Macaca fascicularis: one gene and its partner. The protein of the gene in region 1 purifies or fractionates together with the protein of each later gene. This does not show direct contact. Links are inferred from orthologs where the notes say so. Each region holds a gene or a part of one and is shown in the gene's direction. Other genes may lie near its edges.

Region 1 (5,995 bases):
CATTGAAGTTAGAGAAAGGTGTCTGGAATTTTCTCCCTCCCACACTTTTGTAGGCTATTATGCAGGTTTGCTCCTAAAGAAGCCCAGTGTCGGCCAGGCGCAGTGGCTCATGCCTGTAATCCCAGCACTTTGGGAGGCCAAGGGCAGGTGGATCACCTGAGGTCAGGAGTTTGAGACTAGCCTGGCCAATGTGGTGAAACCCCGTCTCTAATAAAAATACAAAAAATTAGCCAGGCATGGTGCCGGGCACCTGTAATCCCAGCTACTTGGGAGGCTGAGGCAGGATAATTGCTAGAACCTGGGAGGCAGAGGTTGCAGTGAGCTGAGATCGCACCATTGCACTCCAGCCTAGGTAACAAGACTAAAACTCCATCTCAAAAAAAAAAAAAAAAGCCCAGTATCTTCTCACCAGTCTGGGTCTGTTTGTTGCTTTTGCCATTACAAAAGTGCTTGCATTTAAGGAAGGGCTATGGCCGGTGCATCTGGGTGCATTTGATTTGAAATTTCACTTCGGTCTGTATTAATACTGCATTGTGTGTTAGGCGGCCCCCTTCTGGAGGAGAGCTGAGGTAAAGCATCTCTTCTGCTTTTATCAAGGGGCGATGGTCCTGCCTGCAGAGCTCCACCACCCGAGGTGGGGAGATGACCCCTACACAGCAGCAGAACTCCCGCTCTCTGGGGCTCTTGCCCCTGCTGGGCTGGACACTCATGCCCTGTCCTGCCCTGTCCTGTTCTGGTGGCCTCCCTGGACTTGGGCTGTCCCTGCCTGTCAGCATCTTCACCTGGTTTATCCTCTGGCCTCGCCACCTCATCTGTGGAATCTGTGATGCCTCCTCCTTATTCACGCTTTCAGCATTCTCCCTGCCACCCCCGTCCCTGGTGGTACACAGTCACTGTCCTTAGCACACAGCAGGAGCTCAGAAAATACTTGGATGTGTTAAAACCACTGGGCTCTGAAGAGGCTCCTGTGGCTCTCTGGCCGGGTAACATGGAAGACATCCAGCTCAGGGTTCAACCTGCCTCTCTCAGAGCCCCTGACTACTCAGAGCGTTGTCCACTGCCCAGCAGCACTGGCACTCCCTGGGAGCTTGTCAGAAATGCAGATGCTCAGGCCTCCCAGAGCTGCTGAACAAGATGCAGGAATTACATTTGGGAAGTGTTGATCGAGCCACCTGCTGACCATGAGGTCACCTCTGGTGGGTCGCAGTGTTTCTTCCACTCTTCAGCCCCCTTGGCAATAACATGGAAGCCATTTTGTGCTTGGCTGTGTTTGGCTCACAGGGCCACTCCTGGATGACTTAGTCTCATCCTGCCTAGAGGCAGGTAACTAGACCAGGTGACTCTGAGGGTTATTTTAGCTTCTAGTAGTTCATTATGTCCCACTACAGACACTGTCTCCTCTGATACTCATAGTCACCCACGGTGGGGACCAAGCAGGGATCCTGTCTTAGTCTATTTTGTATTGCTGTAACAGAGTACCTGAGACTGAGTAATTTATAATCAATAGAAGTTTATTTGGCTCACGGTTCTGAAGGCTGGAAGTCCAAGAACAGGGTGCCAGCATCTGGCGAGGACCTTTGTGCTGCGTCTTCCCAGCACAGGAGGCAGAAGGACAAGAGAGCATGAGGGTGAGGGGCCCAGACTTGTTTTCATCAAAAAAGCCAATCTCTCAATAGCTAACCCACTCCCGAGATAACAACATTAATGCACTGATAAGTCATACACTCGTGAGGGCTCTGCCCTCAGAAGCTAACATCCCTGACTGGCCCCACCCTAAACACTTGCACTGGGGACTAAGTTTCTAACACAAGAACTTCAGGGAACACATTCAAATTATAGCAGATCTCTCCCACCCATTTTCCAGATGCTGGAAGTCACACCTCCCAGAGGAGCAGCACTGGGCCTGGCCTTAGGCTGCCGGCCCACCTTGCCTCTCCTGATTCTTTCCGCTTTCCCTTCTTCGTCCCCTCATGCAGCCCCATCCACCCTCCCAGCCAAGCGAGTGAGCCAGAGCCCCACTGCATCCAGAGTCAAGGCAAAGTCCTAGTGGGTCCAGAGGAGATGAGGCTGATTTGTGACTGCCCGGCTTCAGGCACATGTTTCTTCCTGGAATACCACTTTTCTCTGGTGGGGTAGCATCTTCTGGGCAGCTGGGACCCTGCCACCCATCTGACCTCTTTCTCCTCCTGCCACAGTCAACACCAGTCACCACTCGTCCTCCTACAAGTCCAAGTCCTCCAGCAACGTGACCTCCACCAGCGGTCACTCTTCAGGGAGCTCATCTGGAGCCATCACCTACCGGCAGCAGCGGCCAGGCCCCCACTTCCAGCAGCAGCAGCCGCTCAATCTCAGTCAGGTAAGCCCCACGGCTGGCGCCCCAGGCCAGGCAGAGCCCCCATCCCCTCATCCTTCCGCTTCAGAGAGGATCACTATGACGGCCCCTCACCCACCTCACAGGGCTGCAGTCCTGGCCACGGGTGGGCAGCACATGCCCTTGGTGACCTCTGGTGGCTTCTTCCACCACAGGTCACCCTGGGGGAAGTTGATATCACCGGTGTACAGAGAGCTGGCCCAAAGCAAAGCAACTTGTCTAATGTTACAAAGCCCTTAGTGACATGGTGCTAGAGCTTAAAAATAGGATGGCCCACATATTGCTGTTTCAACCCAGCAAAGGGTAGAGCACCGTGTCCCGGCCCTGTCGGCCTGGGACTCCAGGGACAGACCTGCATCCGACTCATTGCAGGGAGGGCCCACACACCACAGCCCCCAAGTGAAGGGAAGAGTTGTCCCAGGACCTGGAGGAAGGGGGGTGGGTTGAGGTGAAATGGGAGTGACCCGAGTTTCTGCAGGCACAGGGCTGTGTCAAGGGCTCTTCATCAGGCCTGACTCACACGGTGGACTCAGGGCCCCTGTTTCTCTAGAAACAAGATGAGATAAATGGGGTGTTTGTGTTCAGAGCTTCTCAGCTGAAGTGCTGCCCAGGTCATCAGTGGAGCCTGTGTCTCTGTCACGTGACTTAGGTTCTCCAGGTAGGACAGGGCTATTTTATTTGGACTGACAGAACCTTGGACAGCGATGCCTCTGAGAGCCAACCCTTTTTTTTTTTTTTTTTTTTTTTTTTTTTTTAAAGACAGGGTCTTTTTCTGTCACCCAGGCTCAAGTGCAGTAGCACAGTCATGGCTCTCACTGCAGCCTCTGCCTCCTGCCTCGAGTAATCCTCCCACCTTAGCCTCCCGAGTAGCTGAGACTACAGGCATGAGCCACCACACCTAGCTAATTTTCAAAATTTTTTGTAGAGATGCTGTGAGAGCCAACAATTTTGAGAACAAGATTTTACAGTGAGTGAAAAAGCAATTGCTGCTCAAAGAGTGTGTCCTGGCCGGGTGCGGTGGCTCACTCCTGTAGTCCCAGCTTCTCGGCAGCCCAAGGCGGGGGGGATCATTCTAGGCCAGGAGTTCAAGGCTGCAGTGAGCTAGGTTCATGCCACTGCACTCCAACCTGGGGCATCCTGATAATGCCACAGCTTCTATGTGTCCTTGGGAGAAATATTTTCTCCTGTAACTTTGCAGCTGGCTTTATCGTGTATCACCCCAGCCTGGTGAGTGGCAGGCCAAGTCGGGACTTTCTCAGTCCAAGTGACTTTTTTTTTTTTTTTTTTGAGACAGAGTCTCACTCTGTCACCCAGGCTGGAGTGCACTTGTGTGATCTCAGCTCACTGCAACGTCTACTACCTCCGAGGTTCAAGTGATTCTCGTGCCTCAGCCCACCGAGTAGCTGGGACTACAGGCAAGGCTCATGCCACCATGCCCGGCTAATTTTTTTGTATTTTAATAGAGACGGGGTTTCGCCATATTGGCCAGGCTAGTCTCGAACTCCTGACCTCAGGTGATCCGCCCACCTCTGCATCCCAAAGTGCTGGGATTACAGGCATGAGCCACCACGCTGGGTCCCAAGTAAATTTTTACTTTCTCAACACACAGAGGGAAGCCCTTTCTGTCACTTCTGGCGTCTTTCCCTTCTCTTCCTCCTTCCTGCCCTCCTGCCCCTCCTCCCATTCCTTCCTCCCCATGTGTCAGCCCCTGACGTCTCTCTTGGTGCCTCTCCTCCCCAGGCTCAGCAGCACATCACCGCGGACCGCACTGGGAGCCACCGACGGCAGCAGGCCTATATCACTCCCACCATGGCCCAGGCTCCCTACTCCTTCCCGCACAACAGCCCCAGCCACGGCACTGTCCACCCCCACCTGGCTGCAGCCGCCGCCGCCGCCCACCTCCCCACCCAGCCTCACCTCTACACCTACACCGCGCCTGCGGCCCTGGGCTCCACCGGCACCGTGGCCCACCTGGTGGCCTCGCAAGGCTCGGCGCGCCACACCGTTCAGCACACTGCCTACCCAGCCAGCATCGTCCACCAGGTCCCCGTGAGCATGGGCCCCCGGGTCCTGCCCTCACCCACCATCCACCCGAGTCAGTATCCAGCCCAGTTTGCCCACCAGACCTACATCAGCGCCTCGCCAGCCTCCACCGTCTACACTGGATACCCACTGAGCCCCGCCAAGGTCAACCAGTACCCTTACATATAAACACTGGAGGGGAGGGAGGGAGGGAGGGAGAGAATGGCCCGAGGGAGGAGGGAGAGAAGGAGGGAGGCGCTCCTGGGACCGTGGGCGCTGGCCTTTTATACTGAAGATGCCGCACACAAACAATGCAAAAGGGGTAGGGGCGGGGGGCAGGGGGACGGGACGGGACACCAGTGAAACTTGAACCGGGAAGTGGGAGGACGTAGAGCAGAGAAGAGAACATTTTTAAGAGGAAGGGATTATAGAGGGTGGGAAATCTATGGTTTTTATTTTAAAAAAGAAAAAGGAAAAAAAAAAAAGTCAATAACAAAAAACACAGCTCAAGAACCCATTCTACGCCAAACTGGAAAGGAGAAGAGAGCAACAGGAAGATTCCAGAAGCGGGGGGCCCCAGTTTTTGAAGAACTTTATGAACTTTTCAAAGATTATTTTCATATGGCAGCAAGTGATACGGAAGACTTTGCTGTCAGGGACACCTGATATGGAAATCAAATAGATTTTTAATTAATTGAACATAAGATTTAGGGATTTTTCCAGAACTCGAAAGGGTCAACAGCTCTCCAGAACGTCAGGCTGCAGCCTGAGGAGGCTGATGTTTGGAGCTGGTGTGGGGTTGGCGAGGCTGAGTCCAGGCTCCCTAGTCAGGAAAGACGGGGAACGCCAGGCTGCTGGAAGGCCCCCGGGGGCGCGGGGCGGGTTTTCTTTTTCTGAGCACTCTGGATAAATCCCTAAGCAATGTTGTTCCTCAAATGTCATTAATAATGTGTGTTGCAAACTTTAGATTTTTTTTTCTTTTCTGAAAATGTATTTTCTCTTTGAGTCCACCCCTAGTCGCATAGCGTAGGGCTAGCGGTCGTCACGGACACCCTAGTAGAATGTAGCACTCAGCACCCTTGTCTCCTACCTTGTGTTCAACTCCAATGATACCAATAGAATATTCCTCAATGTAATTGCACAAAAAAAAAAGCGATATAACATAGGCATGTAACCAATGTGGCGGTGCAGGTGTGCGGGTGAGCGAGCGCGTGTGAGTGTGCACGCACCGCCCTCCCCGGGTGGCCCTCGGCGCCGCCACCCTAGCTGGCGCAGTCTTGACACTGCATCCTTCCCTCCTAGTGCCTTACCGAGCGACAGACGCGGCGTGAGGGTTTACTTCCACTGGTACTCCAAGAAACTGAGGCTAGTCAGACACAATCTCAGCTCTTCTGTTGTGCTGTTGTAACAGTTTACTCTGGCCTTTTTTTTTTTTCTTTTTCTTTTTAAAATGTTAATGCCCATTGTCTTTCCTGGGCTGTTTGCTAGCGGAAGGATGCCAGGGAAGCTGGCAGGAGCTAGGAGAGAGTCCGTGGATCTTGAAAGAAATATGGGAGACAGATGCCTGGCAGGTGCGTCTGGAGATGGGGACAGCGGGAGTTG
Region 2 (5,995 bases), on another chromosome or scaffold:
TTGGGTAAAATAAATACCTACACACGTAGGTAGCACTGAGTTTGCTGCCATGGTGCCTGGGGCATATGCCTAAGCAGTGATGAAAGGGAATTTTAAATACGATATCAGACTTGTAGGCATCCTGCCCATTTTATGGACTCACTTTATTGATGGTAGCTACAGGCTGTGGGCCAGATTCAGTGCTTGCGGGCATTTGATGCTAACCTGAGTAAACATAACTGCTTTATGTGTGGTGTCTACGTGTGTGTACACTAAATGCTTGGTGTGCTTCCATGTGGAAACCCAGAGATTTCAGGAATTGGGATATGTTTTAACAACATCAGTAACTTGTGGAGGGGTTCATGTGCTTCCAGGGACACCAAAAAGTCTTCTGTCAGTTGACAGCCCAAAATACACATGATTATAAAAAAATTTTCTCCTGGGCTCTGAAAAATAGTTTAAAATAATTAAGGTGGACTTGGTTCACACATGAATTAAAACATTAGTTTTGGGGCCAGGCAAGGTGGCCTGTAATCCCAACACTTTGGGAGGCCGAGATGGGCAGATTGCTTTGAGCTCAAGAGTTTGAGACCAGCCTGCCCAACATGGTGAAACCCCATCTCTACAAAAAATACAAGAATTAGCCGGGCGTTGGTGGCTCCTGCTTGTAGTCCCCGCCATATGAGAGGCTGAGGCTGGAGAGTTGCTTGAGCCTGGGAAGCTGAGGCTGCAGTCAGCTGAACTCGCCCCACTGCACTCCAGCCTGGGCGACAGAGCGAGACCCTGTCTCAAAATAACAAAAAAAAACAAAACAACAAAACCCATTAGTTTTGGAAGAATTTGCTGCTGTTTTCTGTAGTACAGTAGTTCAGCATCTGTAGAGAGCCAGTGTTTGGCATCTGTGACAAATGTCTGTCTTTTTTACATCAATGAATTAAATCAAAGAATTAAATATCATTGAATTAAAAATCAATGAATTAAATATTCATTGATGAATATTCAAGCTAGTGAATGGCAGCGCATCTATCACGGTAAGGCTCAGGTGGTCAGGGTGCAGGCCTTCTTTCCTGTGACGGCGTCCCAGACAGATGACCGTGAGCTAGTGTGGAGGTGCCCACACCTAGGGTGCTCCCTCCATGCTGATAGGGCTCACAGAGTGGCTGCCGCTGAAGTGGTGTGTGAGCAGCAGGATAGCACAGCTCACTGGGCCTTGACCTTTAGAAGCTGTGTTCCTGCTGAGACCAAGATGACACACTACCCAGCAGCGTTCCCAAAAAGTCCTTAGCTGCTGAAATGTCACTGGGGGCACATAGTTGCAACCCATCCTCCATCTATAGGTACTTCTTATTTATTTACTAATTTTATTTTATTGTTTTAGAGACAGGATCTTGCTCTGTTGCCCAGGCTGGAGTGCAGTGGCATGCGATTATAGCTCACTGCACCCTTGAAGTCCTGGGGTCAAGGGATCCTCTTGCCCCAGCTTTCCAAGTAGCTGGGACTACAGGCATACACCACCATACCTGGCTAATTAAGAAAGTTTTTTTGTAGAGATTGGGTCTCACTATGTTGCCCAGGTTAGTCTTGAACTCCTGGACTCAAGGGATCCTCCAGCCTCAGCCTCCTGAGTAGTTGAGACTACAGGTGCGTGACACCATGCCTGGCTCTGTGGATCCTTCTTGCTTCCAGCCAGGAGCAGCTGTTGGCTGGTAAAGTGTGTGCAATGTGAGGAAGTTGATGTGGGGGACAGATTCCATGTAGACCAGGGACAGCAGTGTGGAGTGGTGGCTGGGAGATCCCCCTTGAGTTGGTCCTGGGTTTTAGGGTTTTATTTGTTCCCTGTGGCTTGTTCAGCACTCCAGGCTTTTGAACCCAACATGCTTCTCTAAAGCCCTCTCTCCAGTCCCTTTTAGCCAGGACCACTTACATCATGGCAGGCTGTGTGGCAGTCACCTGCGTGGCCAGGTTGAGAGGCATAGCCAGAGCTCCTGGGCTCCTATAGTTCGTGGCAGGAAGGACCACAGACCATGGCAGGGGTTCTGTTGGAGCCCTTACCTAGTCTCTTTTGCATACTCCTTGCAGGCTTGTAGCAGCAGCAGCAGTAGTAGCAGCAAATTCTATAGTTCTCTGATGTCTAAGAGGGTGGGTGGTTCGGTTTTCAGCTTAAGGAGTGAAGTCACATGAACTATAGCTTCCTTAGCTACAAACTGTATTTGCATTTCCTCTTATTCTGTACCTTTTCTGTTCCTTAAGTTACCCATTTACTATTTGCTATCTGAATCCTCATCAGAGAGGCTTTTAAGAGTCAAGTGCAGCATTCTGATAGAGCGTGTTAAGATTGTCTCCAGTGGCGGTGTCCGAGCGCCTCTGGGCGTGGGTGGTGTCCATGATCCCCTGGTTGATGGGGCTGAAGGTGACCCATGATTATCTCTCTTTGAGGCGCGTGTTGAGAGTTGGAGGAACACCGTGCCGTGTGTTCTCATGTGTTGCAAGGTGTACCGCGTGTGACGTGACGCAAAGGCGGAAAACGGTGGCCTTGAGCCTGGAGGATGTGGGGTTCAGAAGACGCCCACCACCTTCGGGGCTGCAGCGCGCCTTCCTTTCTCTCTGAGTGTTGTTGGGGCTGGTGGAGTGATTGTCTCCATCTTACTTGTGACGGTCCAGCCCTCACTCAGGTTTATACACATAGCCAGGACTAGAGGCAGCTTTCCTGCCTCCGGCCTTCCTGTCTTCCCTGTCACTCAGCTCTGCAGCTGAGGTGGGAGGTGCTCAAGCTGCCAGCCTCCGTGATGTTCATGCAGTGAGACTTGTGGGGAGTGGCATTCCCGTGTCCTGGGCATCCCTTCTTAGCATGAGAGGCATTCCTGTAGTTGTAAAAGTTTCCAGAAATTGTTTTAAAGTGGAACTATGCTTGTAGCCAAAATATAGCTCGACTGAACATTTAAACTGAGTTTCTTGCTTTGAGTTTGAGCGGGAGGGCATCATCGTGAGTCTTGTCTTGAGAAAACCTCTGGTCGTGTTTCATGGACCCACCTTTCCTAATCCTTGTCCTCTTAATGGTTTCAACAGGACAGATTGATTCACTTTGGAGCTGTAAGTACTGATGTATTAGGGTGCAGCGCTCATTGTTCATTGACGCAGAGTCCCAAAATGAATATCCAAGAGCAGGGTTTCCCCTTGGACCTCGGAGCAAGTTTCACCGAAGATGCTCCCCGACCCCCAGTGCCTGGTGAGGAGGGAGAACTGGTGTCCACAGACCCGAGGCCCGCCAGCTACAGTTTCTGCTCTGGGAAAGGTGTTGGCATTAAAGCTGAGACTTCGACGGCCACTCCGAGGCGCTCGGATCTGGACCTGGGGTATGAGCCTGAGGGCAGTGCCTCCCCCACCCCACCATACTTGAAGTGGGCTGAGTCACTGCACTCCCTGCTGGATGACCAAGATGGGATAAGCCTATTCAGGACTTTCCTGAAGCAGGAGGGCTGTGCCGATTTGCTGGACTTCTGGTTTGCCTGCACTGGCTTCAGGAAGCTGGAGCCCTGTGACTCGAACGAGGAAAAGAGGCTGAAGCTGGCGAGAGCCATCTATCGAAAGTACATCCTTGATAACAATGGCATCGTGTCCCGGCAGACCAAGCCAGCCACCAAGAGCTTCATAAAGGGCTGCATCATGAAGCAGCTGATCGATCCTGCCATGTTTGACCAGGCCCAGACAGAAATCCAGGCCACTATGGAGGAAAACACCTACCCCTCTTTCCTTAAGTCTGATATTTATTTGGAATATACGAGGACAGGCTCGGAGAGCCCGAAAGTCTGTAGTGACCAGAGCTCTGGGTCAGGGACAGGGAAGGGCATATCTGGATACCTGCCGACTTTAAATGAAGATGAGGAATGGAAATGTGACCAGGACATGGACGAGGACGATGGCAGAGACGCTGCTCCTCCCGGAAGACTCCCTCAGAAGCTGCTCCTGGAGACAGCTGCCCCGAGGGCCTCCTCCAGTAGACGGTACAGCGAAGGCAGAGAGTTCAGGTGAGTCCGACGCCAAGCGTCCTGCTTTCTGTACTCACCTCCGAGAGCTGGAGAACAAGCCAGAGAAAGGTGCTGATGAGGCGGGCGTTAACCCACACTGGATGTCCTGCTGCAGTTGGGGTTGAATTTTGGTTCTGTTCTTATTCGTGATACTTTTGCATTTGTCATTAGATACTTTTGTATATTTGTAATGTTGAGAGTACTTTTACTGAGAACAGACCAGACTAAAATAGATGACTTTATGAGTCATTAGGAACCTCGGAATTCTTCAAAGTCACGATGACATGTAAACTTTACCCTTCATCAGTAGAGTCTGTACTCTCTTAAATAGGATCTGGATCTATCCGGTAGACATGGTCCTTTGCGCTTAATAAAGGGAGGAGTGGACGTTTCAGGGCATCAATACTTGGATGATTGGATTCTTGCTTTTTTTTTTTTTTTTTTGAGACAGAGTTTCACTCTTGTTGCCCAGGCTGGAGTGCAGTGGCACAATCTCGGCTCACTGCAACTTTCGCTTCCTGGGTTTGGACGATTCTCCTGCCTCAGCCTCTTAAGTAGCTGGGATTACAGGCATGTGCCACCACGCCCGGCTAATTTTGCATTTTTAGTAGAGACGGGGTTTCTCCACGTTGGCCAGACTGGTCTCGAACTCCCGACCTCAGGTGATCCACCCGCCTCGGCCTCCCAAACTGCTGGGATTACAGGCGTGAGCCGCCGCGCCCGGCCAGATTGTTGCTTTTATAATGATCTTCTAAGCTTCTTCCTAGAGGCTGAGAAATAGTAGGGGGGATGTTTTACGTGTGGGGAATGGTCATAGTACTTTGAAAACTTCTTGTGGCTGTGGTGGGCATTCCAGGATTGGGCCTTTTTTCCTGCCAACAAAATCTGTTGGTGGTGTTGTGTAGTCCACAGCAGCGTGGGCCCTGAGGCGATCCTCGCTGGGCATGTGGGGTGTTTGTGCTGCCTGGGACGGAGCAGAGTGGTGCTCAGCCTTGAAACCTGTTTCTTTATTCTTCCTTCCCTGTGATCCCTGCGTGGTTCCTGGAGGTTTATTTGACTTTTGGGCTGGCATCTGTTGTGCTTGTGAACAGAGCACATACATTTCCCACGCTTTCCCTAGAGCTGGTGACCGGAGGCTCCGGCCTGTGTAACTTTGAAAGCCTGGAATTCATTCGACCCCTGTTGATTTAATCAAGACTCCGAAAGCACAGCCCCACGTGCTGGGACTCTCCCGAGGAGTTATTAAAAACTCGCATCAGGCCGGGCGCGGTGGCTCAAGCCTGTAATCCCAGCACTTTGGGAGGCCGAGACGGGCGGATCACAAGGTCAGGAGATCGAGACCGTCCTCGCTAACACGGTGAAACCCCGTCTCTACTAAAAAATTCAAAAAAAAAAACTAGCCGGGCGAGTTGGCGGGCCCCTGTAGTCCCAGCTACTCGGGAGGCTGAGGTAGGAGAATGGCCTAAACCTGGGAGGCGGAGCTTGCAGTGAGCTGAGATCCGGCCACTGCACCCCAGCCTGGGCGACAGAGCAAGACTCCGTCTCAAAAAAAAAAAAAAAAAAAAAAAAAAAAAAAAAAAAAAACAAAAAAAAAAACTCGCATCAGTTCTTCAAGCTTACTGTGACACAGAAATCCGCTGCTGGCTCATAAACACAGGATTAAACATTTCTAAGGTTAAACCCCTTTAGTCTAAGTGATACGATTTAAGATGGACTGTCGACTGGGCGTGGTGACTCACTCCTGTAATCCCAGCACTTTGGGAGGCCTAGGTGGGCAGATCACCTGAGGTTGGGAGTTCGAGACCATCCTGGCCAACGTGGTGAAACCCCATCTCTACTAAAAATACAACAATTAGATGGGTGCAGTGTTGCATGCCTGTAATCCCAGCTACTCGGGAGACTGAGGCAGGACAATCACTTGAACCTGGGAGGTGGAGGTTGTGGTGAGTCTTTTTTTTATTTTGAGATGGAGTCTCACTCTGTCACCCAGG

Evidence for each region. The genes of interacting proteins can lie anywhere in the genome.
Region 2: the proteins of HIPK2 (region 1) and AXIN1 purify together in Homo sapiens (affinity purification with western blotting; 3 studies listed by BioGRID). This does not show direct contact. The link is inferred for Macaca fascicularis from reciprocal best matches to the Homo sapiens genes HIPK2 and AXIN1.

What each region holds. Positions count from the first base shown.
Region 1 is NC_088377.1:181,249,167-181,255,161, reverse strand, and holds part of HIPK2 (homeodomain-interacting protein kinase 2), read left to right. Parts: intron 1-2,195; coding exon 2,196-2,356; intron 2,357-4,111; coding exon 4,112-4,582; 3' UTR 4,583-5,995.
Region 2 is NC_088394.1:1,102,294-1,108,288, reverse strand, and holds part of AXIN1 (axin-1), read left to right. Parts: intron 1-3,045; 5' UTR 3,046-3,126; coding exon 3,127-4,004; intron 4,005-5,995. UniProt on the Homo sapiens protein: Component of the beta-catenin destruction complex required for regulating CTNNB1 levels through phosphorylation and ubiquitination, and modulating Wnt-signaling.